2 linked regions of the Tribolium castaneum genome follow. The protein of the gene in region 1 interacts with the protein of each later gene in a biochemical or structural test. Links are inferred from orthologs where the notes say so. Each region holds a gene or a part of one and is shown on either strand. Other genes may lie near its edges. The genes, in order: PolI and PolH.

Evidence for each region.
Region 2: the proteins of PolI (region 1) and PolH interact in far-western blotting, tested with the Homo sapiens proteins (2 studies listed by BioGRID). The link is inferred for Tribolium castaneum from reciprocal best matches to the Homo sapiens genes POLI and POLH.

Annotation. Positions count from the first base shown.
Region 1 is NC_087396.1:11,982,182-11,994,042, reverse strand, and holds PolI (DNA polymerase iota), read left to right. Parts: upstream 1-5,830; 5' UTR 5,831-6,495; coding exon 6,496-8,109; 3' UTR 8,110-8,151; downstream 8,152-11,861. Other genes in the region: beta-mannosidase, read right to left, coding at 1-48, 94-243, 294-402; uncharacterized protein LOC103313669, read right to left, coding at 714-881, 1,894-2,051, 2,097-3,104, 3,151-3,187; protein mono-ADP-ribosyltransferase PARP11, read left to right, coding at 4,136-5,059; uncharacterized protein LOC103313667, read right to left, coding at 9,405-9,554, 9,600-9,710, 9,757-9,942, 9,991-10,140. UniProt on the Homo sapiens protein: Error-prone DNA polymerase specifically involved in DNA repair. Plays an important role in translesion synthesis, where the normal high-fidelity DNA polymerases cannot proceed and DNA synthesis stalls. Favors Hoogsteen base-pairing in the active site.
Region 2 is NC_087394.1:32,790,517-32,802,328, forward strand, and holds PolH (DNA polymerase eta), read left to right. Parts: upstream 1-4,884; 5' UTR 4,885-4,885; coding exon 4,886-5,019; intron 5,020-5,061; coding exon 5,062-5,196; intron 5,197-5,374; coding exon 5,375-5,673; intron 5,674-5,722; coding exon 5,723-5,981; intron 5,982-6,041; coding exon 6,042-7,254; 3' UTR 7,255-7,525; downstream 7,526-11,812. Other genes in the region: lin (protein lines), read left to right, coding at 733-1,578; uncharacterized protein NC2alpha, read right to left, coding at 3,592-4,202, 4,453-4,525, 4,577-4,618; protein FAM98A, read right to left, coding at 9,498-10,088, 10,138-10,338, 10,440-10,933, 10,986-11,191, 11,239-11,276; alanyl-tRNA editing protein Aarsd1, read left to right, coding at 11,811-11,812. UniProt on the Homo sapiens protein: DNA polymerase specifically involved in the DNA repair by translesion synthesis (TLS). Due to low processivity on both damaged and normal DNA, cooperates with the heterotetrameric (REV3L, REV7, POLD2 and POLD3) POLZ complex for complete bypass of DNA lesions.

The sequences.
Region 1 (11,861 bases):
CCTCAAAAACCACTAAGACAACTCGACTGTTTAGCAATTCTTCGCTGACTGTAATTGTAAGTTGTTAATACGGTTAATTGGTTTGGGCACAACCTGTGAATGTTGTGCTGTAAGTCCAGTTGGTTAGGCCCACCCAACTGTAATTTGAGTCCCCAGTACCGTAGAAAATATCCCCAATTGTGCCACTTTCCATGAGGGCGGAAAATATGCCGCCGGGAACATAGGCATCAATAGTTAAAGTTTCTACGGATAATTAATTCGAATCGAATTGATTGATTGGTTAAGTGGCGTACCGTTGGGCCCCCCTGTCACTTTCCATTGGCCGTTGAGGCCTTGCCGAATCACCCCATTGGCCAAACCGGCCAATATTAACACAGAAAACTTTGTCCAAATTAACACCATGGTGACGCAGTAAGTTACTGTGCCACTTGTAGAGATAAAAGATGAGTAGTTTTATAAAAATGATATATTTTCAACGAGATAAGAAAACATAATATTCATTAGAGTAATACAAAAATATTTTAACACTAGTAACTTTATAACTGACTCTAGGAGAATGTTAGATAAATATAAACTACAAGTATGATAACACAAAATATTTACAGTCATCTCGGTTTCAATTCAATTCAGCCGATGCAAAGTTAGACCAGATGACTAATTTTATTTGAATGGCTTAAGTATGACACTTTTGTAACAATGTTCAATATCACATTTCACATGTCTAACACTTCCGACGCTATACACTGCCTCACATGAACCTCGTACTCGGAGTTTGCAGGAAAATTCTTGTTGCAGATGTTGCACTGCAAAGCTTTTGCCTCAGATGTGGGAACGAGATTTTCAACAATGTCGTCTTCAATACCACACGTGGAGGCGTGATTCTTAATAAAATAAAAACAATAATTATTTATATTATTATTTATAATATTTATGTCTCGGGAGGTGGTGCACATATTTTAACGATAAATTATGCATTAAAAATAAACTTATCCTTATAATAAAAAAAAATAAAGATCATTTTTTATTTTTAAAGAAGTAAAATGTAAAAATATGCAGGAGGTAACAGCACAAACATCACAGTATTTTTAAACGAAACGATTTTGAATTTAAACCTGTCGAAAACGCAAATATTATTATTATTATTATTATCTTAGGAGTGCCAATAAACCAGATGAAAAAAAAGACTACCAGTCACCTTAAATGTTTTTGTTTTTGTGCGTAAAGTGTGGTATGAGAAAGCAAATTTAGCTTCAAATATAAAAATATGGATAATAATTTTTTAGAATTATTTTGACATGTGGATTTACGATTCCCTGTGGTCCCCATCTTTTAAGAAAGTAAATGAAAGCACTTTAATAAGTAGGAGAAATGTTCTATGTATTATTTTTCTGCAAAAGCTTTTTTGTGGTGATATTATCAGCTCTGATCTTCTGGATCAAGTGAACATTGTAGTACCTAGAGCTAACAACCGAAATCCTCCTACATTTTATTTTTCCACCTATAATACCTTTCATCTGAATTCTCCACTTTTTAAATGTTTTAAATTATATAATAATATTACAATAGATTTAGATATTTTCTTCAATAATTTCAAAACTAAAACTGTAAAGGTCAAGCTTCTAGAATATTTTTCTTCGTAATTTATAATGTTTTGTATAATTTAATTGTCTCAAATATGCTCTTTTTTTGTATATTGTATTGTTACTTGTCCACGTTAGACTAATAAGTCTGTTGGAAATAAATTATATTATTATTATCTTACACCCTGTATATCGTTCTTAAAAAATACAAATACCTATAAAAAAATTAGCTTTCAATGATATCTAGCTTTGCACAAGATGATAGTTTTGGAAATTAGATAAATAATTATAAATAATAAATTCCAACAGTTACCTCAATTTGACTCTGTGGGAATTCCGCGTTACAAATGGGACAACTAATTTTTTCTTCTGGTGGTTTTTCAACTTTTGCGGGAGTTCTGGTTCTCGGTGCACTTTTCGGAAGGTTTGCGCTCGCTCTTTCTGCAACAACTTCTGTAATTGCGTCAGGATCTGAAAAACAGCTTTAAACGTTGTCCACTTGTAACACAACCGCACCTTCTTGTTTGTTGGCTTTTTTCGGCCTCTTGTTTTTTTTACCCGGAACTGGGGGAGGCACCCTCCTCCTCAAAAAGTTCTGTTCGTTATCTTTGACTGGACTCGTCTCAATTACGTAGTCTTCAGAGTTGTCCTCCAAAGATGGGAGCGTTCTTTCAAAATTCTCCATTTCTGCTTCTTGCTGCTTCCTTTTCTCCTCACCTTGTATAAACTTGTCAAACATCGCCTCAGACCTGCTGGTGGGCTTTTTGGCGCTTATGGATAAATTTTTTCGTGGTATTTTCGGCTTTGTGGATTTGCAGGTAGCAGGGGTCTTTTCTTCAGTGAGATCTTCTTCAGGAACGTAAGGAAGGTCTAATGTAATTTTTGTACTTGAGTCTCCAAATTCCGCTTTGTTTTTCTTTACAATGCTGGCAAAGTCAGGGTCGCTGTCTACATCCTCCTGCTCTGTGTAAATTTTTCGTTTAACCTGGCGGCCTGAGCGGCTAACGTATAGATTTTCAACTGGAATTTGATCCACTAGGTCATCAAAGCTGCCACCGCTTGGGATTCCATTGCTGGTTTCAGGCAGCTTGTAATTGCTTGATGGATGAATGGGGGAAGGCAGAGGGGCCCTTATGAGAGACTCTTTTGCTAATTTCGCGATGCACTTATTAATCTGTGTAAACGACTCTGATAGTAATTTTCTGCGCAGCGAGATGGAGTACTTCTTAAATTTGGGGTTTGTGGGAATTGGGAGGGAAAAGACAGGGTCGTGGTGAATGATTTGCAGAAACCCTTTATGCAGATTGGGTTTTTTTGGAGAAGACCGCAGAGTTCGCGTGACTCTGTTTCCCTTCGAAACTTCAACTGCGTCATCAGACTTTTCGATTTTCTTATAAAAGTTCCTTATGTCCACGGTTTGTCGGTCAAACTCTCGGTTGAATTTCTCTTCTTTTGCTGTTTCTTTCGACCTGTTAATCGCTTCTTGCAGCTCCCTAAATTCCTTCCCGTGATCTGACTCTGCGACTAGTGAACATTTTAAAATGGAAACATTAAACTGAACAATTTGAACCTTTAAGGAACTCCTTAAAATTATTTTGAAACGCCATTGTTTGACTACAATAATAACACAACAATTGCCAAAGTTAAATGTAAATTTCAATTATTTTCGAACACAAAAACACAGACGCACTCATTTTTTCAGGTTAAGTTCAATTTTGACATTTGACATTAATTTTGGCGGGAAGCTTTCAGAAATTAATCAATGTCGAAAATTTTCATTTTTCATCAGTAAAAACAGTGTGCTAGAATGTGGCCGCTTATTTTTAAAAATTAATTTAGATTTTTATCAAACTTCGTTTGTTTAAAATTGACTTTACTTGTAATTATTTCTTTTATTTTAGCACCAACAGTCTGAAATTCTCTGTAAAGTGTACGAAACAACTCGTGAAGCATAATTTAACTCAAAATAGGCTAAAGTAGTACTCTTCCAATTGGTGTCTCTTAAAGAAATCGTAGTTAAAGTGAACCAAGTAGTCGCTCCTATGCAAGTACGTAATGTTGGTTGCATATTACTTCAATTTAAAATTTTTAAAATAAAAAACGGCACAAACAACTAGCCTGAAGCTTATTCACGGAGTCGTTTGTTCCTTACTCGTCGCCTCACGGCTCGTAAACAAATTTCAGAAATAAAACAATGATAAATTGATAAATCATTCAAATTCTTGGCCAAATTTGGTCCCACCTTTCTACTTGCACTTGCACATTGTAGTGCAAAAATCTGGAACGCCGATTCGCCTGTTTAAATTTAGCGCTACGAAATCGCTGACTGTGATTGGTGCAAAAAAATTTCTTTTGAACTTAGCAATGGAGACATTTTATTACTGAGTAAAGTTTTGTAGTTTAACCGTTAGTTTTGTAGTTTTGTGTTTTATAGATTCGTTCAAATTGTTACTAGTTTAGTGTTTAAGTGCTTCATCTTTGCAGCTTCGAGGTGTGTATTTTTATTAAAACACAGTAGGTAACTGACAGAAATTTAAAATTCACTAGAATCGAAAATGAAAAGGGCCCGAGAAGATGATGAATATGACGATTTTTGCAACGGTTTGCAGTTCAGCGACGGCAATAGCGCTTCGCCTTCGCCTAGACATCGAATTAAGCGCCCCAAAGTGAACCCCAACTACGAGACAATCAAGTTTCACTTTGGTGCCTCGTCCGTTACTTACAAGACCATACAACACACCGACCCGGCGTTCAAAAAGATTAAAGATTTAATAGATATTAAGTCACTGATGATCGAAGACCTCATTGAAGTCAACAATCCGGTCCTCGATATCGCGTATGAGATGAAAAAGTGTGAGAAAAAGCACACGTTTGGGAACGTCAATGAAGCTCTGCTGTTCCATGGGACTAGAAGGGAGAACGTGGAAAGCATCTGCACCTATAATTTCGACTGGAGGCTCTTTGGGAGTAACAGGGGCCACAAATTTGGAAAAGGGGTGAATTTCTCCCCAAGCGCCAAATACGCAAGCAACTACTCGGACCCCCACAGTTACCACAAAATTATGATCGTTGCCAAAGTGCTGATAGGCAACGTCTGCCAAGGGGACCAAGACATGTCGCTGCCGCCTCCAGGCTATGACACAAGCCAGAAGGACCAAAGAGCGAGCGTTATCGTAAAGTATGAGGATAATGAATTCTACCCATATTACATTCTCCATTACCATTTGCGTGAAAAACACAGAAACAACAATCATTATCGTTATGATTGTAACTACATAAATCGTTATGATCGTTACCATGTGGAGAGAAGACGTTATAACACTCATTACAACTATTACCGGGATCGTTATGGCCCTGGTTATGGTAACTATCGCTACGACAACCATCGCTATGACAACTATCGTTATGACGACTATCGTTATCACAGAAATGATCACTATGGTGATCGTTATGATGGTGCTAAAACCAGGCATTTTTAAGTTTTTTCTGATGTTTGTTAACTTCGTTCTAGTAATATAACCAAAGCAATAGTTTTAATGTTGAAACTTATTTATGTTCCAAAATACGCAGCAGTATTATTGCAAGCATTCCAGTTTCAATTGCAATTTGTTTATTGTGATAAACGAAATAATGCTGTGAAGTAGTTTGATAAGAATAAAATTATTTACTTTGAAAATGTGACACTTACGTTGCTTTTATAAATTTAGTTATAGGCTCAGTAACATTTATCGAAAATTGTAAGTAGTTTTTGCTTGTCTTTGTTGCTTTTTGTATACACTTTTGATTTTATGTCCACGTTTAATTCCTATTAAAATTTTTGGATGAAGGCCTGTTTTATTTTTAATCGTTATAGTCCAGTTTATGGTACATTTAATTATAATTTGTTGTTTTCTATGATATTTAATTTAACCGCTATTAAGTATTAGTCATCAAGAAGTTCATGACCAGGGCGACCAACATTGAAGTGTGATAAAGTAATAAAATACCCGTTGCCCCTGGTCCTAGTACCCGTTTTCAAACATCATTTGCTAAATACCGGAAGGGAGCTTACTTTCTGAGTGAAAATTAAGCCAATTTCTTTAAAAAAATTGAAATTAACTGTGATCTTTTACTGATTGGGTTGGCAGCATTGCAATTTTATATGCGTCTGCAACAATAACCCCTGTGTCTGTGTCCCTGTTTTTTGATTGTGAAACAACGAACAACAGGTCCAATGCCCATTTTCAAAGGTAAATTTGCGTAAATTTGGGCCCCCAAGCCCAAAAGGCCCGCTACAAACCCCAATCTCAAAGTAGATAAGCTGGGGTCAAAGATTGTGTGATGCCAAAATTTGCACCCGAAAGATTATGAGTACCAGCAAATTGAGAATTTAATTACTAACGAGTCAATGTTGACTCTATTTGCCGTTATAACTTCGATTTTCGCTTATTTGGTACCAATAAGGGCCACAGGTATGGCCAAGGTGTGAGCTTCCCAAACGCAAAATATGCCTCGTGTTCTACCGACGATATTTACCATAATGTGATGATTATGGCCAATGTGTTAGTTGCTAATGTTTGTGATGGTGGTGAAAATATGCACTTGCCTCCGCTTGGGTTCGACCCGTGCCAAAAGCCTGGCGGAGTTGTGATCGTCAAGTACGAGGATAACGAGTTTTATCCTGCCTATAATTTATACTATCACATTGGTAAAAACTACGATGGAGATGACTGTTGTGAAATAAAACTTTTCTTAATTGTTGAAATTGTTCAGAAGTTTTTATTTGCTAAGTTTGGGATTGGTAGCCTTGTAATTTTTGAATAAGCCGCCTAATTGGTGCATTGTGATTGGCCAAGTCATCTCAAATGCCAAATCAGTAGAAATAAACATAACCTCACTAAAGTTGCAAGAGTTCTTTTATCAGTATTTAAAAACAATGTCTTTTGAGATGGACCATTCCCGTACTATAATTCACATCGATTTGGACTGTTTTTACGCGCAAGTGGAAATGAACAAAAACCCCAGCCTCCGAACGGTCCCGCTAGGAATACAGCAGAAAAACATTGTCGTCACTAGCAATTACACAGCCCGTGAATTTGGCATAAAAAAGTGCATGTTAATCCCCGAGGCGAAAAAACTGTGCCCTAGCCTCGTGCTAGTCAACGGCGAGGATTTACACGACTATCGCCAGACCTCCTACAAAGTAACCAATCTGTTGCAAAAGTACACCCCTCTGGTGGAACGCCTAGGTCTTGATGAGAATTATCTGGACGTGACGACGCTAATAAACGAGAAATTGAACCAAAAAAGTGATCTCAAGCTTGTGGGAAATGTGTTTGGAGACACAAGTGATAAGTGTGAGTGTGGCTGCACGGAGCGCCTGATCATTGCCACAACAGTGGCTCAGGAAATCCGCGACGTTATTAAATCGGAACTCAACCTCACGTCCTGTGCAGGAATCGCCCATAACAAACTTTTAGCAAAAATTGCAGGAGCGCGCCACAAACCAAACCAACAAACTGTTGTTTTCCCAAATAGTGCGTTAGAATTGATTCTTAGCCTAAACGCACCGAACGATATCCCGGGAATTGGCAGAGCGTTGTTTGAACAATTAAAATGCATAGGGGTTGAAACAATTGAGGAGCTACAAAATGTTGATCTCAAGAGACTTGAAACCGTTTTAGGGCAAGATAAAGCTAAGTTAGTTCATGAGTTAAGTTTGGGTATCGATAAAAGTGGGGTCAAGCCGACGGGGAAGCCCCAAAGCATTGGTTTAGAAGACAGTTGTAGGTCAATTTCTGTAGAAACCGAAGTGAAAATAAAATTAGAACAGTTGTTAAACCGTCTCTTGCTTCTGGTGGAAGAGGATGGGCGTGTCCCCAAAACCATAAAACTAACAGTCCGGAAGTTCAACAAAGACAACAAGATGAGCCACCGAGAGACGCGCCAATGCAACGTCAATCCCTCGATTTTCTCCTCAAACCAACCAAACAAAGAAGCCAAAATCATGACCACGATCATGCACCTTTTCAACCGAATAATCGACGTCAAAAAACCCTACCACATCACATTACTTGGCCTCTCTTTCACGAAGTTCCAGGAGCCCCCGAAAAACACGCTCGCTTCGTTCCTGCGCAAGGACCTTGAAGTCCAGTCAGTGCTGAGTATAGAGAACCAGAACGGTGTCGAAGACGCCGAAAGTCCCGTCCCTTCAACCTCGAAGTTGGCACCAACGGAGGGGGAATCACCCACACCCTCACCGAAAAAACTAAAGTTGACAAATCTCGTGTCGAAGAAGCGCTGTTTTGAGGACTATTACGAAGACTGCGAGAGTCCCTCAAAGTTGAAGGTTGCGGATTTGTGCTTGGATTCGGTGTCGTGCCCCCCTGATGCCGACAAGGAGGTGTTCAAGGAGCTGCCGAAGGAGGTGCAAAAGGAGCTGTGGGAGGATTACAAGAGGAGGAGGGCCAGTGAGATGAATTTTTGCAGCAGTCAAGTGAAGAAAACCAAGCCCAACACGTTGCTTAATTATTTTATCCGGAATAACTGATGGTTTTGTAGATTTTTTTCATTAAATATGTTTTAATAAAAATTGGTTTTTTCTTCCACCCAGTCATTCCTAAATTCCAGATTGTATATTTTCGCGTGGTGGTAGGATGTTAAAAATACACAATTTTTAAAATTATCTGTATTTTATTATTATAAAAAATTCAGTTTTATAATAAGTCATCAATAAAAAATAATCTTCAACAGATTTATATTGGTTTAAAATAATCCGTAATCCGCTTGTTGTTTTTCAATTGCCTGATTGTTTTCGAGTCGTAAATTGAAGCCTTTTGGTTGAAACGTGAGTAAATGCCAGCGCCTGTTTGCTTATCAGTTTTGTATCTGATGACTTCACCTTGAGGCTTTATGCCTGACGTTTCAAAAAAGTCAAGAACACTAATTACATCGTCAAGGTCGGTGTAGTCCTTAGTGTAAAATTATTACAGCGTGAAGAGGTTCAGTATCTGCAGATGTTGAAACTTTTGCGTCCCAAAGATCTCCAATTTTTACAGCTTCTTTTATTTTAGTCCATATCCCATTTACATCTGCTTTTGGTAAAAACAACATCCATTTGCCCACTTTGCAGTAATCATTCACATTTTCTAAACTGTATTTGTTGTTTTTTGCCCACAGCCAGGGGGCTTCACCTTTTGTGACGTCTGTCGGATTCAGAGTGCAATCATTCTTTATTTCCTTTGATGCTACATCACATTTAAAGACAAATTTTGCGTCCATATTTTTTCTAAATCTAAAAAACTTGTTCAAAAATTTTTATTTACTTGGAGGTCTTACGTTTGCGTGCTATTTTATGGGTATTTTACTGGTACTACTGTCAGTAATACCACCACTTCTAAAGTAGTGTCACAACTTTGCCCATGCACTTGTGTATTATTGGTTGCATCATTAAATTTTCGAAAAACACCATTCTTTTAGTGTTTATAATATTGATATTGTAATTATTTCATATATTAGTTACGACCTAGGCTTTGTTTAAATAGTAAATGGCATCAATAATTTCACATTTTAATCCAAAGAACCAGAAATAAAATTATTGTTATCTCGACAAAAGAACGTCAATTGTGAAATGATAACACTTAAAATATTAGAGATAAATATTAGTGAAATGATAACATAGTCCAAACATAACAAACAGAACGTTACAGACTAAGTAGGGGAAATGAAAGCTGGGATATTTTTCTATAAATTTTATTGTGATTCTGCTTTTCACAAACGTTTGTAATAAATTAATCTCAAATACTTTGTATGTAGACATAGTGTTAAAAATTTGCGACATTGCGTTTAGGCATGTATTGATTTTCTGAGATCTATATTTCGTTCTAACGGCGTTTGGGGAACTGGCCCCTCGTCTTCTTCTTCCACATATCGATACATAAGAAATATTGCAGCGCAGCCCACAACCGAGAGAACCCCGCCAACAATTCCTAAAAACTAAAGCCGGCATAAAAATTTAATTTAATTTAAAAATGTGGTTACTCCTGGCACTTTATGCATGGTGGGATTTTCTCTACATTCGATGGTCGTCGACACTGTCATCACCGAACCAATAATTCCAACAAGAGAAAATATTAGATTCAAAATTATGTCCTGCGACAAACTGTTAAAATGTGAATATTAGTACAGAAGCACCTACAGCTGTGACCCACTTTCCTGGATATTTCACTGTGCCCCCGCATGAGAACATCAAATAAAACAGAAACTGTACTCCAACATTACACCCGACACAGACGGGAAAAACGGTAGTGAACCAGTCGGGTCTGTCGTAGCACTGGTCCCAGCTTTGCGCCAAAAACAGGGCCAAAGCTGCTAAACACACGATCTGGGATTTTCTACATAGAGTTAGCCTTTTGAGTAAAGTATTACTTACTATTGCCAGTATTTTTGTCCATCCTGTTTTTGTTAAGAGAAATTTGCCCGGTTCTAGCTTATCTCTAACTAATTCATCGAATGAGGCACTTTTTGGGGCGAATGTGTTCAAAAACTGGGCCTTTTTTTGATTTATTGCCCGTTCCGCCATGGTTTTATTATCATTATTTAATATAGGAGGTAACAACGACTGAGCAGATTTCGTACTATTATGAAGCTGATACCATTATCGGTTTTTTTGTAAGTAATCATAGTGTAGTGTGATCTCTTATTATGATATGTAACAGAGCAGATTGATATCTGACAGTATCTTTATAATCAGCTTTACATAATTTGATTTAAAACTAAAATTGATGACATTCTTAAGAATAAAAAAATAAGAAGAGTACTCTATTTATTAAAATGTTTAAGTTTTTTACCTACTTTACGTGTGTAATTCCGCCTTTTTGGAATACTTATTTTTTTTTAAGTCACATATGTAATGTTATAATAATTTTAAAATAAATATTAAATACCAATCGAGAAATGTTAGTTGTACAAAGTTTTATAGAGTACTACACAGGTGAAACCTAAGTTGTAAATTGTAAATCTATTTCATAATCCATTTTATTGAATACAATAAAACCACACAAAGGTGCAGTTTATTTATGGATTATACATAGAAGCAAAGCGTTTAATTGTTAAAGAAACTCCATCAAATTGAGTGTGGGATTAACTACAAGTAAAATTATAGCCTTGAGTGTATACGATCAGTCAAACTCAATCATTCAAGCTTTCTTTAAACCGGGCCTAAATATTTAAGGATTGCTCTGATCAGTCAAATAATAACTAATTTGTCCAGCAAGAACCACGTGGAGGTTTAGAGCATTCTTGCCAGGAAAAAAGGAAATAAGGATGTGGTAAACAATGATTATTTGAAAATGAAGGGAATGTTTTTTTGAAAAAAAAATGTTTATTTGCATTAAATTTTGAGCAAGCCACTTTCATTCATTGAAATTAAAGACAAAATTATTACGTGGCAATAAATTATTTGAGTGTTTGATTTTATTTTTAGTTACTGTATTAAAAAAGTGTCACTCAAAATATTACTTTTCAACACCGCATTTAAAGATTTTAATTGCAATTACGTTTTATGAAATTATTGATTTGTGAAATAAATAAATACGACACAGCAATAAAATACACCTACCTTCATATCGCTTCCACGTTGGCTACCGTTTGTAGCATTAAAAATAATAATAATAATAATGAAACCAAAAAAAAAAGTTTATTTGCATTAAATTTTGAGCAAGCCACTTTCATTCATTGAAATTAAAGACAAAATTATTACATGGCAATAAATTATTTGAGTGTTTGATTTTATTTTTAGTTACTGTATTTAAAATGTGTCACTCAAAATATCACTTTTCAACACCGCATTTAAAGATTTTAATTGCAATTAAGTTTTATGAAATTATTGGTTTGTGAAATAAATAAATACGACACAGCAATAAAATACACCTACCTTCATATCGCTTCCACGTTGGCTACCGTTTGTAGCATGAAAAAAAATTAAAAACACCAATAAAAAAATCTTTATTTGCATGAAAATTACAACAAGCGACATAATTTTACGGCTGTAAAATACAATCAACAATGTTATATTTAAGGATTGCTCTAATTGGTCAAATTAGTCAATAACTAATTTGTCCGGCAAGAACCACGTGGAGGTTTAGAGCATTCTTGCCAGGAAAAAAGGATATAAGGATGAGGTAAACAATGATTATTTGAAAATGAAGGGAATAAAGGAATTATTGGTTTGTGAAATGAAAAAATAGTACACAAAAATCAAAGTTTTTTCACTTGGCGTTAAATAAATGCTCTTACCTTTAT
Region 2 (11,812 bases), on another chromosome or scaffold:
TAAAGGTTTTTTTTATCGATTCAAGAAATAAAAACCAAAAAAATCGGTTTTACACTTTTTGTATTAAAAATTAATAAAAATAAAAAAAATTAAATGACAACCCTTGTTCATTTTTATATCATTCGATGCAGAATTAAAACAGGATCATTTTTTCTTATCACAACCCTAACGGAAATCGTCACACATTCGGAGTTATTTGCCAAAAACTTGTTTTGTCAACTATTTTACTGACAAATTTAATCAATAAAAGTCGAAAATGGCTCAATATTGTTTAATTAACATTAATTTATTGTAACGACATTGAAAAGCCTACCTTTAGGAATAATTTATGCTTAAATTTATCAGCAGTTAATCTTAATTACAGTTTTGTAGATTTACCAAAGTACTACATGATTTTTTCAGTAGAAAAATTTACACTCTTTTTTAATTTATTGGTTTTGTGCCCAACATATGTTCGCTACGATTCATTACTTGAACACGCAGTGGTTTAATAGCATTTTGTAATGAAAAATTAAATCTTTTCACTTTTTATCCACTTTCAAATTCCAACAAAAACATTTTATAACCACGAAAAATCGCATAACCAAAGGCAACGCTAGTATTTACCACCACATACTTTTAAAGTGACTCTCTGTAATGTAAGAAATTAATTGCAAAATAATTCATGAAACGAGGAATTAAGAAAATTTCGTCACCAAAGGGCGTCTGGTTAATTTTGTTCCCCAATTGCAGGACATGCTCCCGGAGGACACGTGCCAGCTGGCCCACTTGATCGTGCGCTACGTCAAAGACTTCCGCCTGCTCGACAGCCTGCCGTACAGGCGCTCAGAGGGCTACACTGTGAACAGCTTCGTGGGGACGATCCCCAGCACGCAGCCGACGCAGTCCAACATCGACAAGACTCTCTTGCAGAAGATGACGCTCCTGGTGCTGAAGAGCGTGGCCATCACCATCAAGGAGACGCGCTCGGACAGCTCGGACTCCAGCGTGGGGTCGGAGGACTACGACTTCTCGCACGACATGCAGCTGATCGCGCGCTCGATCCGCGACGTGCTCAAGAAGGTGGACGTCTTCATCAAGCTCAGCTTGGAGTTTCACCCCGAAACGCCCTTCTCGAAAATACTCATCCATTTGTTTAGCGATCAAGACGATTACATGATCGAGGCCATGGTTTGTACGCTGGATATTAAGACGGGGATCTCGTACCAGAACGCGTTGGCGCCCGATTTTATCGCGATGCTGAATCCGGTCCACTCGTTTATCGAGTTTTTGAAAATTGTTAGTCATGATTCGGACGTACTATTAGATTATTTAGTCAGTAATGAGACGTGTTTCTTGTTGTATCTGTTGCGGTTCTTGAAGTATACGAGGAGGAATTGGGATGTTTTTGTAAATAGTTGTTACGAGGGCGGAGCGTCGAGGACCAATGAGCTTGATAATACAATGACGGTTTTGATAAGACTTAAAATGCAGATTGATCGACTCGTGTCGAAGGATCTTTTTCCTTATAATATTAACCCCATTTTAAGACTGCTTGAGATTTGCGAGAATCTTTACGAAGGCAACGAGTACAGCTGATAGCTTTAATTTTTATTCGGTTTTTTTATGTGTATATAGTTGAAAGTTTCCGTGATATAGTACAAAACCCTCCCATTTCTTCTAATTTATTTTTTTATACATTTTTCAAACAGGACAGACAACATGTCCAGTTACCACGTATTTTGCATAATTGGCGATTGTGTTTTTGATGAAAAATTTCATTCAACGCATGATAAATATTATTAATTAAAATGAAACGATCGCACAGATAACGAAAGCAAATAGTTTCAAAATAATTAAACTAATGAAATGTTTTAATTGGGGAAATTTCGCAACTGGGCCAATTATAATTATGAAATTGTTAGTGTTACCCAAAAAACATGTGTCCCTAATCTTACAGATGACAAAAAATCACAAAAGCCACTGTTTTTTTAATAACTACCATATTTTTTCTAATTAACTAGCGTAAAACAATTTAATGCTAGTTGCAAAACAGTCACTTTATAATTGGTTTTCTCTTTTAATTTCTGGGTTTTCTTGAGATTCAATTTGTCACTAGGGTCCAATCTAACAGAGAATCACACGAAAATACAGCAAGTTTAAGGTTGATAAAAATAGTTATTAATGACACAGTTAAAGATTAGATCTCTCATTGAAATTGTAAATAAAATTAGCTATTGATTTTTTTCAAGTGATTAAATAATTTATAACAACTAATTTTGAGAGAAAAAGCGACGTTGACATTTCCATAATTTTGAAACAGCTAGTTTGAGTTCAAAGTTACCAATAGTCCCATAATAAGGAAATTCGGCCAAAAATTTTAGTCGAATAGACAAGAGAGTATTAAATAATTCCAATTTATTGCTTCACTTTTATTCAGTTTACAGCTGCTAATACAATAAAATTAATTTAAAAAAAAATCTAGTTTTGTTTGTTTTCTTGGAAAGACGATTTACAAAATAACGCAAATTCATCTTTTAGACCAAAATTAGGTATTTGTGTACGAAATTGCCATGTTGCCAGAGTGTCAATTGAAAAAGTCCCGAGATATATCCGTAGTTTTACCAGCGACATATTGTATTTCCAAATTTTCCATTTGCATTTATTGAGCAAAAAACTCGTTTGTTTTTATGTACATATTTAGGAAAAAAGTATGAATCACTAGGAAATTCCTGAAACGTTATCTTGAACAAACACTCAACGTTACATATTTGCATTTCTTATTTTGCACCCATGAATTATTTGTTTTGGATGATAAAACCTTATTTTTGTTAGGGCATATGTTAATAAATCAATGTTTATCAGCATTAAAAATTCAATGACCCTTTGGACAAGTTGTGGAATTTAATTTTCTTCCCCCGAGTGTCAATATATCGGACAAAATACGTCTACACTGGACATGTCGAACGATGGAAGTAAAAAAAAACACAAATTAAAAAATTCAACTTCGGTTCGGTTTTCCCAGACTGATAAGTCGTTCATAGTCTAAGAGTGCGTTTGTATTATCTAACACTTGTTAAAATAGAATTGAAAAGTCTGTAATTAACTTATTTCCTTTATTTATTCTTTCGAATAGGTTTATGTAACAAATGTAAATTGTAGTTACCTTATTTAAGTTTTAACAGTGTAACTAATCGCCCACTTACAATTTGCAATATTAAGAGTAAGTCGCCTTGTATTATTTTCCATAGTTCAAATTATATGCGCCGTGATGAGAACTTGTGCCCATAATAATGTAAAAAACAAGATGTAATAATTTAATGACTTTATTATTTAATTTCTAACTTATATAAATAAAAGTAACGATTGGCAGGCTCATGAGGTCCTTCAGAGGAGTTAAAAAAGTAGTTGTATGTATATAAGGTATTGATTATAATACTTTAATATTTTTAAAATTGTACATAATGTACTAATGTATTTTTTTACCCAATACAAAACGTTTTAATAACAACTGTATATTTCACTGTTAGGTCATCGGAAAAGTCGTCAGGTAGGTAGTTACGTTTACTTGATACAAATGAACTGATAAATCGGTGATAAATATAGAACAATCTAATTATCATAATCTTCATCAATACACAGAGTGTCTTCAGTGTTCTGATTGTAATAATGGTGTGAAATAGGTATAAGAGGCGGGATATTGTCGCAGTTGACTGGCGGCGTATTTTCTTGGACACTATTAGCGGGCCCCCTTGTTGGTACTAAAGGGGGCACAGGTACGGGTTCCGCCACCGAAATGCGCACTTTGGGTCCTTCCTTCGCCGGCTCGATCAAATTATTAACTGAGAAATTGAACTTTTTCGTCTCTACTTGCGCTACTTTAGGTCCATACTGGATAACTGGTGTTCTAGCCGTGGACGTACTCTGCTCTGTGTAAAAATTCGCCGTTACTTCCGGCTTCGAAGCCTCCACTGCTGCCGCAGGCTCCTGTTTTGACTCGGCCTCCTGCAGCTGTTGCGCTTCGAACATCAGGTTGTTTTTGTTATCTTCTTGTGCACTTGCATCAGGGATATTTTTCACTAAGTCTTTTAAAAAGTCGAAACGACTCTCGGATAATATACATTGCTTCATGTGGGACGGAGTTAAAGTCTTGGCGTTGCGGGACTGCGTTATTTGCATTGACTTCGTCAGCAGCGACTCCACAAACAACTCCAGCGTTCGGGGTAAGCAGCGTTAAGGAAATATTACTAAAGTGAAACCTCAGACTTGTTTTCATTTTACGATCACCACTGAGCTGATAAAATTATATCTGTATTTTTTATTGCAATAGTGGCTACGATAAGAGAGTCAAAAAAAAAATACTTTTGTGAAGCCCTAACAGTGCGTGCGAGACAAACGCAATTAACTGCTTTGCACAAACGTGAAACACTCGCTTAAATTAAATAATAAACAGTCAAATAATTAAAAGGATATAGATTATAACTGGTACAGCTTGTGCCACTTTTCCAACCTCTTCATCAGTCTGCATTATTTTTTTAATACGGCCCTGAAAATCCCCCAATTAAATAAGGAATTTCCAAAATTTGGAACGACTTACTGCTGGAAATCTGGCATTGTATTTTTTCTTTTTTGAAGGCATATCTAAAAATCTTTGATTTCGTTTCAATTTGTCAACAATCACTTTCTGAAAAATGACAGTTTGAGGTTATATGTTGTTAGGGATTTTTTGCACACTTGTCAAAATAATTGTCACTTGTCATTTTTTCCTGAAATGGTGGGAAACAAAAAATGAAAATAATTTCACAATTTCTTGAATAAATAAGTAATTCAACCGTTCATTCCACTTGCAATTACTTATTCAATTGTTAAGATCAAGATTGGGACAGTTTTTAATTTGTTGTGTGGAATGGGGCCCACGGACCGTGTTGTGGTTCTGGTGGACATGGATTGTTTCTATTGCCAGGTTGAGGAGAAGTTGAACCCGGCCTTGGAGGGCAAACCGATCGCCGTGGTCCAATATAATGCATGGCAAGGGGGCGGGTAAGTGGGCATTAAACTTTGGTCTCAACTTGTTTCTCTCAGCATTATAGCTGTTAATTATCCGGCTCGTGACGAGGGGGTTACGAGACACATGAGGGGCTTTGAGGCTAAGAAGAAGTGCCCGAGTATTAATTTGGTGCAGGTTCCAGAACTAAGAGGAAAAGCTGACTTAACCAAGTAAGTGGTGTCACATGCTTTTGTAACCAGGTTTGTGAAAAAATTGTTATTTTTAAGTGACACACAACCACAAAAAATAAAACCTTATGCTACTAAATGCTTATTTTTATTAATACTTTTTAGTATTATGAAAATTACATTATTAATTATAAGTGGTTTATATTAAAAAAAATTGTAGATATCGAGATGCGGGAAAAAGGGTTGCGGATGTTTTGCTGACTTTTACACCTCTGCTTCAACGTGCTTCAGTTGACGAGGCCTACCTTGATATCACGGAAATTGTAGAAAAACGGATTGAAAAAGGCCTGGATGATTTAACTTTAATTAATCTAAGTAACACTTTTGTTGTGGGTTGCGAACTGGAAGATTTTCTTCATAATGCTATTACTAACAAGGAATATTCCATTCCCAATTTAAAACTGGCAGTTGGAGGTCTTGTGACTGAAGAAATTCGACGCGAAGTTTTCAAAGTTACTGGTATTAAGTTACTGTACCAAATTTTTGATTTTATTTATTGATGATTTAGGATACAAGTGTTCTGCAGGCATTGCTCACAATAAAATCTTGGCAAAACTAGTCTGCAGCTTGCACAAGCCCAACAAACAAACCATTCTGCCCCAGGAAGAGGTTGAGAAATTTTTTGAAACCACCCCAATTAATAAAGTGAAGAATTTGGGGGGGAAATTCGGGCAGACTCTCTCGGAGGATTTTCACGTTACAACAATGGGCCAATTAGCCAAAATTCCAGAGAAGCTTTTGGTGCAAAAATATGACGAAAAAACTGGGTATCTATGACGCAAAAATGTCTAATTTAAACTTAAAACTTAAACTAAACAATATTTTAGCAACTGGTTACATAATATTGCCCGAGGTATTGATATGGAACCTGTCACTACAAAATTAATCGCAAAATCCATCGCTTGTTGCAAAAATTTCCCGGGAAAAACTGCGCTTGTAACGGAGGAAAACGTGCAACACTGGCTGGGGAAACTAGCGGCGGAAATGTCGGAACGGCTGGATAAAGACTTGAAGGAAAATAACCGAAGAGCCAAGCAAATTATTGTGAGCTTTGCACAGGAAGTGAACAAGAAGGACGTTCACAGCACGAGGACACATCCCTTGGTGTCGTACAACGAACAGAAAATAGCTCAGGCGGCTTTTGAAGTGGTTAAGAGGTTTTGTCGCAAGTCTGACGGCACTTACCATTTGAAGTTTTTGGGGCTGAATGCTTCCAGTTTTGACGATATTAAGAACGTTCGGCAAATCACTTCCTTTTTCCAAGTTGGACCAAACCAACCAAAAAAATCGCTGGAGAAAAAACCGGAAGTTGGAGAGCAGAGCGTTTACGACCAACCAACGCAAGAGTTAGAGGAGGACAGCAGTAACCTGATCTTTTACGACGATTCATACCGAGTTAGAGATAATAATGAAAATGAACTGGAAAGTACAGAGTGTTCAAATATCGAAAATGTTGAAGAGCTGGACAGACCCACGTCTTCGTTTTTTGTCAAGTTTTTCGATAATGATAGCAATGAAAACGAGCAGGAAGAACAAGACAACATTGAAGAAAATAATGACTCTGAAATGAGCGTTGAAGAAGAAACTGAACTGTGTAGCGAATGCAAAAAGAGAATACCAATCTCTGAATTAATGTCTCATCAAGATTATCACTTTGCATTAAACCTCTCACGAAGTGAAAACGTTCCTCCCAATTCAAACGTTAAGACTCCTCCAGTCGTTAAAAAATCTCTCGATTCTATGAAAAAAACTCGAAAACGGAAAGAAATTGATTGTGGTAATAATAGCATAAGGACATTTTTTGCAAAGCAGGAAGAACCAACAGGTCCTACGGAGACGTGCACAGAGTGCAATAGAAAAATCAAAGTTGAGGAAATGACCAGTCACATGGATTACCACACGGCTAAAAAAATCCATTTAGAATTAAATGCCATTAAAACGGTTAAACCTGTGACCAAACAGTCAAAGGCAAAATCAGGGAAAACCAAAAATCAAAGTGCTAATAAAAGTGTTGTTTCGTTTTTTAAGCCGTTAGGGTAATTTTTTACTTGATTTCAAGTGGAAAGACGAAATTTTTGGCGAGATGCGAGATTATTTCAGTTGATTTGAAAGTCAGCATCACCAACATCATTTTGAAGTCATAGAAGTGTGCAACAATTTTATCATTGTGTTTAGTTATGAATTATTGAATTTTAACAATGAATAAGCTTTGTATAAAATTATTGTAAAACGTAGTATTTATTTTTATTAATTGTATACCTTCTATGTGACGTGTTAATTTCAAATTTTAATAAAAAAATCTAATGTTGAATTCTTTGTTTTCTTTAAACTTCCCTCAATCTTTAAATTTTAACTTATTGAATACTGGTGAGTAGTTTTCTGTATTAACTTGCATTTTTGTTTGTGGCGTCATCTCGGTACCAAGTGCTTAAGTAAAACCTTACAGGAATCTACGAAACTTGCAGTGCCATCTATGCATGGTACTCCTAAAGAGTCGATTAGGCTTACTGCAATTTTTACCAACATTAAAAAAAATGATAAAAATTCAGTTATCAATTTCAAAAAACGAATAAAAATTTTATCAAGTGCGATTTACAAAATGCGAAATATCTCCGTTCCTGTAGGAGATAGAGGGGTGGTTCTGCCCTTTTGAAAACCCTACCGCCCCGTAGTCCTTTTTCTGGGCTATCGAATAGGCAAGGTCCCGTTCCCGTATCTCCCTCAGGAACCGAGATAGCATTGCACATTTTTAAATCGGGAATCGAAGTACATGACGTAATAGTGCTTCAAACGTTATGTATGCATGCAAAATTTCAAGTTGTTACGACAAGAGGAAGTGCCTCAAATTTCAGTTCAAAATTTTATAATTTCGAAAGACAACAAACAAAGCAAGTTGAATAAAAACTTTAATAAAAAACTTCAGTTTTTTTGTTAAAAGTCTTTATTAATGCGATTTATTTGGAAACATATTTTGCGAGTTAATTTTGGGGCACTTCCTGTTGTCGTAGCAACTTCAAATTTTGCATGCACACGTAACTTTTGGAGCACTATTACGTCATGTACTGCGATTCTCGATTTAAAAATGTACAGTGTTATCTCGGTTCCTGAGGGAGAAACGGGAACGGGACCTAGCCTATTCGATAGCCCAGGAAAAATACTACGGGGCGCTGGGGTTTTCAAAAGGGCAGAACTACCCCTCTATCTCCTACAGGAACGGAGATATTTCTCATTTTGTGAATTGCAGATTTTCTTCAATTTTTACAAAAATTTTTAAGAGTGCGAGAAAATTTTTGTTGGAGTGAAACAATTTCGCAAAATTTAGAAATGGATTTCGTATCAGGATCATAGGAACGCAAAGAGGTCAAGAAATTTTTAGCGGCGTTTGCATGCAACCAGTTATACACATACGTGTATTTTGAGTTATATATTTTTTTTCATTACCCTTTTGCATTCCTGTGATCCTGATACGAAATCCATTTTTAAAATTTTGCAGATTTTCACCCAAAATTTCTTTCACTTATCAAAATTTTTATAAAAATTGAACAAAATCTGCGATTCACAAAATGCGAAATATCTCCGTTCCTGTTGGAAATAGAGGGGTGGTTCTGCCCTTTTAAAACCCCTACCGCCCCGTAGTATTTTTCCCGGGCTATCGAATAGGCTAGGTCCCGTTCCCGTATCTCCCTCAGGAACCGAGATAGCACTGCACATTTTTAAATCGGGAATCGAAGTACATGACGTAATAGTGCTTCAAAAGTTATGTAAGCATGCAAAATTTCAAGTCGCTACGACAACAGAAAGTGTCCCATATTTAAGTTCAAAATATTAATAAATCCGAAAGGCAAGAGAAGACACTTTTCTTTAATTTTTACAGGTTATTATTAACTAAAGCTTAGATTAAAAATAAATAGATGGCGCTAAATTTACAGGTTACTTTATATTTTAGCTTTAATTTAAAGCGTATAGATGGCAATTAAAACATTACAGATTACTGTAGCATTGTACTTTTACATCCAACATATAGATGGCAACACTAACAATTTTAATTTACTTTTGGCTTTATTGCATAGATGGCGCATTTAATTTTTACCTTTTTTTGAATTTACTAGCTTTAGGAAGTGAGTTCTTCAGTTCTAGAAACTGTTTTGGATGAAAATGGAAATACTATAAAATCAAACTTCAATATCGATTCAGTACTTTTATTAAATATTTAAATACATTAGCAATCTTTCAAGTGTTAGTGCTAGTTTCAAATAACTGCAAATAATGATACAGCACAATTTTTAATAGTGATTCCTGCCTCCCCTGTTGTAATTCGAGTGTCCTCTGCCTCTCCCTCTGTAATTCCCCCTCCCGTGATACTGCTGATTATGCTGTTCCTCTTGCACATACTGATCAGCATAAGTCGTTCTATTTTGTTGAAAGGAATCGTAAGTTTTCGGCCTTTTCGAATTTTGTTCATAGCTCGTGGAGTAACTACCTGCACTATCAAAATTCCTATTATCGTAACTACTTTTATTATCGTTATAACTGCCTTGGCCGCCGCCGTAACTCCCCTGTCTCTCGTTATTATAACCAGGGTTGTTATAACCACCACCGTAACTTCCAGCACTGTCATAACTGCGCCCCTGGTTATAATTGTCGTAACCGCGACCGCCGCTTTTATAATTATCATAACCACCTTGATTACCAGAGTAACTTCCACCGTAACTCCCCGAATCTCTTGAATAGTTCTGTCTGTTGTCGTTACGGGAAAAGTTACCGCCGCCTCTTCCTCGACCGCCCCCCGAGGGCCCCGGCGTGCGCTGCTGCCAAGAGGGCATCTCCGGAGGGGGCGGCGCTTGCTCAGAGGTTCGGCCTCCACGATCAGGAACCTAAAAGTTTTCTTTGGTGTTTTTTTCTTAAACAAAATCATGGTTTTACCTGTCCAATAATGACTTTATTTAGTGACGATTTTGTGTTTTTGCGCACAGACGAGTTACTTGTCTTTTCGATAATTGCAATGTCGTCTCGTGCGGCTAATAAATCAGCAAGTTCAACTTCCGGTTCCGTTTTCAGGCGTTTCCGCTTTTCGGTGTAAACTTTTTCAAATAACTCATCTTTGCCTTTCGTTTTATCAGACCACTGCAACAACAATTGAATATGAAACTTATGTATAGATTGCAAATGAAATTTGTTTTGAAGTAATAAATAAGAATGGAACAAATGTTAAAATTAGTGCCCACCTGAAAAGACTGAATCGTAACATCCAGCCTTGTTAGCAACATCTCTCTTCTAATTTTATATTCATTGTTCAAATCCTTCTGAACCCCATTTAGTGTTTCCCACTGCTTATCAGAAAGTGTTCCTTGAAACGCAGGCTTTCCAACTAATTCACTTCCAACTTTTTGAACAATACTTTGCACAGTTGGGCAAACTTTTTGGAATAACTGTGGAATAGTAATGTTTGGGGGCGGTTTATGAAACCTCAGAGTCATTAATATCTTCCTCATATTGGCAGCTTCTTCAGTCTCTTGCTGCAAAACTTTATCAACAATTTGAAAATTGCGTTTCGTTTTACTTACCAGTTTTAGCTCAAATTTTTTATCGGGCTTTTTCTCTTGTAGTACTCTTGCGGCCATCAGTTCAGTAGCCAAATAGTCTAAAAGTAATAATTTGTCTTGGTGACTTTCCAGACGGTCTGAAATATGGCCCTGTGTTAAGGCAACGTAGGGGCAGTCTGTAACCATTAAATGTGAAAAAATTGGCAAAATACAACAAAACCACCGCACTCAATTCTTTCAGAAAAGAACTAACTTCCATAACAAACGATACTGAATCTTCAGGGCCTGATATTGGATTGACTTCCTCATCGATATTAAGCAATGCGCGTAGCTCGTTTGTTAAAAAACTGACTAGCTTGGTGAATTCCACGTTTTTTGCTCCCTCCTGCAGGGCAGAATCAAAACTAGCCTTCTCGAGAAGGGGGCCACAATAACTGCAATGCAAGTTAGACCTGGAAATTTTTGGTTGGGAAATAATTACCCCAGGTCCTTCAGTCCGTCTAAGAGTTTCTGTTCCATTGTATTAATTAATACTATGTCTTACTTTTGCACTAATATAGAGATTGAAGCCGGTTATTGAATTTCTAACCAATTTGCGAAAATGTCAAGTGGTCAAGCTGTCAAATATCGCAACGTAAAATAACGCAACATTTTTTACTTTTTTTTTTTTGAAAATTTTTATTATGGGGAAAACGTTTAAAAAACTCAATTTGCGTTGTAGCGAAGTAGTTGTTAAAAATTAAATATGCTAGGAAATTCACAAAATTGAGAATTACAGTGAGGTATTAACGTAACGTAATACGAAATGTCAAAACGTAACGTAAGTCGCAACGTGTTTTGTGGGGGCCCCGATGACTTGTTTTATTTTATTTGAACAACACGATAAGATTATAGATTATTAGATTTAATATTATATATTAAAGTCGCACATTTATATGTTTTTAAGAAACACCACTTAAAACACCCAAAAAATTTAATTCCATACTGTCAAACCAGAGCACGGAAGAGTTGCTCAAAAATTTACTAATTTGTAAAGTGATCGGTAATTCTAACAT